Bombyx mori: one gene and its partner. The protein of the gene in region 1 interacts with the protein of each later gene in a biochemical or structural test. Links are inferred from orthologs where the notes say so. Each region holds a gene or a part of one and is shown in the gene's direction. Other genes may lie near its edges.

Evidence for each region.
Region 2: the proteins of cullin-associated NEDD8-dissociated protein 1 (region 1) and cullin-1 form a complex in vitro, tested with the Homo sapiens proteins (6 studies listed by BioGRID and IntAct). The link is inferred for Bombyx mori from reciprocal best matches to the Homo sapiens genes CAND1 and CUL1.

Annotation. Positions count from the first base shown.
Region 1 is NC_085111.1:7,841,770-7,845,753, forward strand, and holds the start of cullin-associated NEDD8-dissociated protein 1, read left to right. Parts: upstream 1-1,175; 5' UTR 1,176-1,404; coding exon 1,405-1,446; intron 1,447-1,531; coding exon 1,532-1,701; intron 1,702-2,182; coding exon 2,183-2,396; intron 2,397-2,490; coding exon 2,491-2,625; intron 2,626-3,386; coding exon 3,387-3,544; intron 3,545-3,666; coding exon 3,667-3,829; intron 3,830-3,984. UniProt on the Homo sapiens protein: Key assembly factor of SCF (SKP1-CUL1-F-box protein) E3 ubiquitin ligase complexes that promotes the exchange of the substrate-recognition F-box subunit in SCF complexes, thereby playing a key role in the cellular repertoire of SCF complexes.
Region 2 is NC_085108.1:4,435,874-4,439,394, reverse strand, and holds part of cullin-1, read left to right. Parts: intron 1-426; coding exon 427-560; intron 561-1,831; coding exon 1,832-1,939; intron 1,940-2,347; coding exon 2,348-2,419; intron 2,420-3,344; coding exon 3,345-3,497; intron 3,498-3,521. UniProt on the Homo sapiens protein: Core component of multiple cullin-RING-based SCF (SKP1-CUL1-F-box protein) E3 ubiquitin-protein ligase complexes, which mediate the ubiquitination of proteins involved in cell cycle progression, signal transduction and transcription.

The DNA of each region.
Region 1 (3,984 bases):
TGTTATTAGTTTCTCATTGCTCCTGTAGATGGCAGTAACATATTATCTATCTTAAATTTTATTTTTAACTATGGATTAAAAAAATATATTTTTCTATATATAATTTAAAATATATATAAATGGAGAAGAGATCGTTTCTCTAATACATAGTATTCCCTATTGCAAGAAAAAATTGATTTAAGTTTGAAAAATGAAGAAAACCGTAATACTACACACTGCAAATTTAGTTACACTTCTTTCACGTGTCACGTGCCTCAAGTTGCACGCGCACCTTTTTTTTTGTAATTCACAACAAATGTAATAGGATAATTTTGTATAGTAAAAAAAAACTCATTCATCAATAATTGTATTTATAAAAATCCTAATTATATTATTTCCAATTAACAACAACTTACCTCTGCAATCTGCATATTTGAAGTTATAGTAATAAAAGCAGAAAATAATGATAAATTATTTTCATACTTGGCGCTCAATATACAGGGTATCTCAGAAAGAATTGATAATACTGAAACACCTCATAGTAGAGCTATTGGGGACACAAAATAAAAAATAAAAAATAAAATCTTAGGTAGCACCCAAATTAAAAATAAAATAAAAATACCAAATTTCATTATTAAAATTGAAGTTCAGATTAACTTTTATAAAAAATTACACTGGCTACTCATGCGATTTTCTACATATTCCTTAGTATAGTCCATATAAAATATTATAACACCAAAAAGCTTATGGATTTCATTTATTTGTAGCTGTTATATATTCCAGAAACGCACAGCAGTATGGAAAATATCAACTTTTTTTTAAAATACATAATTTGGGTACTACCTGAGTTTTTTTTATTTTTATTTTTTTTTGTGTCCTCAATGGCTCTACTATGAGGTGTTTCAGGATTATCCATTCTTTCTGGGACACCCTGTATATGAGTAAGACTCTGTAAGACGCCATAAGCCTTTTAATTTATAAAAAAAATAATTATGTTAGTAAAAAAGGTTTTTTTGTAACCGAATATTGTTAGTTTACTAATTTGCTGATTAAAAATTTACATTACCTACTCATAATATGGTTTTGAAAGAAACGACTGTTTAGACGATAAATTTGAAAAAAAAAACATGACTATTTTACGGCCCTGAACACAATGCTGTTGGCCTATAATGGTCTCGATGCCTTTGGCTTGTAATTATCTACAGTGAGTACTGTTCAATAGAGGTCTGTGTACCTAAAAATGCAAAATAAAAAATTGACAAAAAATCTATGGTCACTTAAATGAGGTTTTAGTTTTACCTAGTTTTTTGCAAATTTTTTCTCGTGTGAATTAATGTTGATTAAACTGTTTTCAACTAATTAGCTCTCGTTAGGTCTTAATATTTTAAAATTATTTTTGGAAGAGACACTGATAGGATTTGCACAATGGCTAATGTGTCTTACCATATAGCACATCTTCTTGAGAAGGTAAGCCGGTTAATTTGTTAACTAGTTCAATGTTTTCGTATCTAATAAGCTCGCATTTATTGAGGATTTTCTATTTATTTCGTAGATGACATCCAATGATAAAGACTTCAGGTTTATGGCTACTAATGATTTGATGACAGAGTTGCAAAAAGACAGTATCAAGCTCGACGATGATTCTGAAAGAAAAGTAGTAAAAATGCTTCTACGATTACTCGAAGACAAGAATGGTGAAGTTCAGAATTTAGCTGTGAAATGGTTCGTTTGATATTTCATAATTCCAAGCACAATAAATCTGAGTATCAATCCTGCATGTGATTCAATCCTGCATGTGATTTAACTCCCAATTTTTTAAGTTCTATTCAAACTACTTATGAAAAAGTATGGTAGAAGATAAAATTTCAATATTCGCTGTCGCAGATTTTTGTCATAGTTTTATGAAATTAGATAAGTTTCCTTTACAAAGTCAAGTCTAATAGTCTCAGTTGTTCTGTACTTTTATCAGTGTTAAATTTGTAAAATTACATAACTTTTTCTCAATTTAAACCAAATTCACTTAGGTATTTCAACTTTCTCATACTAAAAAAAATATATGTTAATCTTTTGCTCTATTGCTGCAAGAAAGAAGCACACACCAAAATATAGACTTTACTGATGATAATATTGTTAAAGTCATAATTTTATAATACTGTATACTGATATTAACAAACCAGTACCCTTGACAATAATTCACTTTCAGCCTCGGTCCTCTTGTAAACAAAGTAAAGGAGTATCAGGTGGAAGGTATAGTTGATACACTTTGTGCCAATATGCTTTCGGATACTGAGCAGCTAAGGGACATCAGCAGCATTGGATTAAAGACTGTAATTTCTGAACTCCCACTGGGTTCCAATACTCTTGCTGCTAATGTTTGTAAGAAAATAACTGGTAAATTGAGTAGTGCTATAGAAAAGGTACAGTATAGATGTTTAGATATTTCACTGGATTGTTCAATTTATTGCTCTCTTCAAAAAATAAACATGTCATTATTCTTCTTAATTTTTTCAGCAAGAAGATGTTTCAGTTCAACTTGAAGCACTTGATATTCTTGCTGATTTATTGAGCAGATTTGGTGGTTTATTGATATCATTTCATCCTATGCTGCTCAATTCACTGTTGCCGCAGCTTGCATCTCCCCGTCAGGTATACAAGTAGCAATGAAAACACCTGTGATCCAATTATATATTATTATGTATCCAAAGTTTGTAGGCTAACTTTTGGTTGTCCCGATATTTCAAAGTTAAAGGAGCCTACAGGAGCAGCTGTTGCTACCTTCATTGTCCCATTTGGACTCTTGATTATTATGTTTCTTGGTGGTTGGTCATACATTTCGGGAACACTTTATTGTTTACTATCAACATATAAAATAATAATGAAAATATGTAATGTAATAAATATTAAAATTAAATGTTCCATGCTGATATTAATTATATAATGCAATAGCAAGTTAAAATTTTATTTAATCAAATTATAAAGGTTTTTTGTCTTGTGAGCTGTGGTCAACTATTACCAAAAATGAAGAATTAAGGCAACCATAAATTTATTTGCAAAGAAAAGTAATTAACTATCTTAACTATCTTAACAGGTAATTTGTAGCTGTTATGGGTTAGGTGCTTTCACTATGTGTATTGTTAGCAGATATCTCAAATATACCAGTTTGAGCTGTGGGACAATTTAGGCACAGTATAAATTCAAACATTGAACTTATGTCTTTTAGTGGATGGCTGCATTCATATCCTAATATCTTTCAAACTCTGGTAATGACATAGAATTAGGTAGGTGGTGAGCTATCACCTAACGATATAGTCCATTACAAAAAAATTATGAAATATATATATATATAGCAAAGTATGAAGGTGTACGTTGATCCAAAATTTACGTAATATAATATTAAAAAATTCCAGGCTGTTCGCAAGCGCACCATAGTTGCGTTGTCACATTTGGTCATGTCTTGCAATGCTTCGCTTTATAACAAGTTAATAGACCATCTACTGGAGGGTCTGAGCTCTTCAACTTCATCAAGTGTCAGCCGAACACACATACAGTGCATTGCTTCTATATGGTATGTTGTGAGTTAATTGACATTTTTGTTCATTCATATTTTAATTTTGCAGCATGTGTAGGATCTAGGCAAGAAAAATTATATTAATTAGACTAAATTCTCTTGAAATTTGTTTATTTTAGTCGTCAAGCTGGACACCGATTTGGTGAACAATTGTGGCGTGTGGCACCATCAGTTTTGGAATATTCAAAAGATACAGATGAAGAATTACGGGAACATTGCTTGCAGGCTCTTGAAGCATTTGTCCTCAAGTGTCCTAAAGAAGTCCAACCACATATACCTACGGTAAATAGACATAATTGGATTTTTTTATTTTCATTGCCTATATAGATGAACAAGCTCAGGGGTCAACCTTGTGTTGTCAGTTATTGGAGCTCATTTACATCATGTACATGTACATTCATACAAGAATGAAGCTTTGAGACAAGAGGTTTAAGTCT
Region 2 (3,521 bases), on another chromosome or scaffold:
GAAATAGAGTTATCAGCAACATGCTTCGTCAAAAAGTACAATACTTGCTTTCAGCTGCAAGCGTCGTCATAAGTAACATATAGGTCCACGCTAACAGCAATGCGCGCGTAGGCATCGGCTAGTCAAACAAACCACTCTGGATCGCACCCGGCCCGAAAGTAGAAGTGAATGAAATTGTGTTACTCTGAAAATTATCAAACAAAAGCTAATCTGTTTAATCGTTGTGCGATTCACGGTTAGCTCGTCTTTTATTATACCCCCAAATGACGTCACACGATAAAGTTACATTCATGGCAAACCAAATAAATCTGATATTAGTATCATACGTCAATCTTTTTTTAGGGTTGACAAAGAAAGTTATAAAATACGTTAATAATAATTATTATAATAGAACCAATAAGTTTTAAGTGTGACAACCAATCGCAGGCAACGCGGTGACGAAAGCGGCGAACTCCTCGTCGAAGAGTCCGGAACTGTTGGCCAAGTACTGCGATTTGCTGCTCAAGAAGTCCAGCAAGAACCCCGAGGAGGCTGAACTTGAAGACACCTTGAATCAAGTCGTGAGTACACTCAAATACAAAATCTCAAGAATCCATGTTTTTTTTTATTGCTTAGATGTGTGGACGAGCTCACAGCCCACCTGGTGTTAAGTGGTTACTGGAGCCCATAGACACCTACAACGTAAATGCGCCACACACCTTGAGATATAGTTCTAAGGTCTCAGTATAGTCACAACGGCTGCCCCACCCTTCAGACCGAAACGCATTACTGCTTCACGGCAGAAATAGGCGGGGCGGTGGTACCTACCCGTGCGGACTCACAACAGGTCCTACCACCAGTAATTACGCAAATTATAAATTTTGCGGGTTTGATTTTTATTGCACGATGTTATTCCTTCACCGTGGAAGTCAATCGTGAACATTTGTTGAGTACGTATTTCATTAGAAAAATTTTGAATGAACTTTGCTATGGCTGTGTTACGTGGACTCATAATATAAAATACATTTTAAAGTATCTATGCGACCACACTGTTGAGTTTGTATAATCTATCTCCTTAGTGGACTTTTTGGCGGGAACGCGAGGAGTGAAGTTGTGCGATTTATTTTATTTTGTCTATTTAGTGTTTCTTCAGGTTTAAATGTGGGAAAATGAAACAAAGCCGCTGGACGTAACTTCTCAGGATCCTCCAAAAAGTCCACTGAAAAAATCTTAGTGAATGACCACCATCTTACTGAGATTATATTTCATCCCATATCATCTCATTTCATTTCATTTAATTTCATCCCAGTTGATTAATGTCTCAAATTAATCATCTTCATTTCATTTCACTCCATAATATCATTTTCCATAAAAATATGAATATAAATTAAAATAAGATATGACTTAAAGGTCTCAGTTACCAGGTCATAAAATCCTTTAAAAAATATCTCCTTAGTGTAATCTGTGTCTTTGCATTTTCCCTCCATTTCCCTCCTGCAAAATTTCTACCAATTGTTTATATCTTATTTAAGTAATGTTTTAATAAATTCTAGAAAACTATCCAAGTTATTATTTAAATACGACAAAGCGGGTGAACAAACACACACTTAAGCTTAGAGGATACAAATGTTGGATTGCGTTGATTTTTGTGGATTTATGGATCATTCATTTATATCCTATAATCAATAGATAGATTGATCTCGTCTGAAATTGGTGGTAGGAATTGACGGGGAGGAGACGTGATAAATCAATAGATGATGAACAAAAAAAAATCTATCAAATAGACCAGATAGCGGAGTTCCAATTTTGTTGATTTGACCTCTTCGAATAATAGAGATAATTAAAATTGCAGATGGTAGTATTCAAGTACATCGAAGATAAGGACGTCTTCCAGAAGTTCTACAGCAAGATGCTGGCGAAGAGACTGGTGCAGCACATGTCGGCCAGCGATGACGCAGAGGTCAGTATGCTTCGTCTCAATCTCGGCGCTGAGGAAGTATCCCTGGTGGTGGTCAGGCGTCATCGCTTTTATTTACGATAGGACCTCTTGTGAGTCCGCGCGGGTAGGTACCACCGCCCTGCCTATTTCTGCCGTGAAGCAGTAATGCGTTTCGACTTGAAGGGTCGGGCAGCCGTTGTAACTATACTGAGACCTTAGAACTTATATCTCTAAAGGTAGGTGGCGCATTTACGTTGTAAATGTCTATGGGCTCCAGTAACCACTTAACACCAGGTGGGCTGTGAGCTCGTTTCCCAAATTAAGCATTAAAAAAAACCATAAAATTTATAAAGCTGAGTCTGTCTAGACGCAGAGAAGTTGAGCTTTATAAATAATCGTTACAACTACATTATGTGTTTCTGTTGACAGGCGTCGATGATCTCAAAATTGAAACAAGCCTGCGGATTCGAGTACACAAGCAAACTGCAGAGAATGTTCCAAGTTAGTATTTAGTAATTTTACTAAAAACTGGCGCTTTTAAGTCCTTTCGTCTACCTATTTGCCAGTAGCCTTTGAAGGCTATTCAGAGAATTGCTAACATGGCCCTAGCAAGAGTAGTGCTTGGCTGAATCTTTTACCGGAACGAAGTCGCAACCACTGAGAAGAACCGGTGAGAAAATCAGTGGGCCTTCTGGGATTGTTTAATTTTTCCCTTTACACATGAATAGCATTTCTCATCATAAAATATCTATGGAATTAATAAAAAAACTGTTGAGAATTGTTGCGGACCTCTTTGCTATTTTGATAATAGCTAATGTGGTTTTTTATTCTTCACTTTTGACGTCTATTCATATAACCCATTTCTTTCGGTTCACTTAATTTTCTGTTTTTATTAAAAAATAATCATTCTCAACTTGTTTCATCGTTTATAATTTTACAGAAGTTTATTTAGTTTATCTTTAAAATAAAAGAGCTATAATAAAAAAAAGGATGCGTGTACTTATGTACGTACGCGCGTAAGAAGCTATACTTTATTTTTATTAAATTTATTTCTTTTTTTTTAATTAATAAATATTTAACGTCAATAATTTAATAATATTTAGTATGAATTATGTTAAATAATAATTTTGTCATTTATATTACTAAAAAATGAATGCTAATAACACTTTTTTTTTTGCGAGTGAGCATGCGCGAAAGTTCACCTGCGGCTATATTCAGACTCGCAAGTTACGTCGGTCGTATTGTAATGAGCGATTTAGTGGCCAACTTCATTTCTGTTAATTTTGTGTCACGGTGCGCGCGCATCGTAAAATTTCACTCTCATCAATTTTTCATAACGCGCCTAAAGAAGTATAACTTCAAAAACACAATATAAACAAATCAATGTGTGAATTTATGATGATGATTAATTTAATATCTCGCACAGGACATTGGCGTGTCGAAGGACTTGAACGAGAACTTCAGGAAGCACATGGCAAACAGCTCGGAGCAGCCCCTGCACATAGACTTCAGCATCCAGGTGCTGTCGTCCGGCTCGTGGCCCTTCCAGCAGTCCACGTCCTTCCAGCTGCCCACGGAGGTGACGTCACCACTTCAATACTCC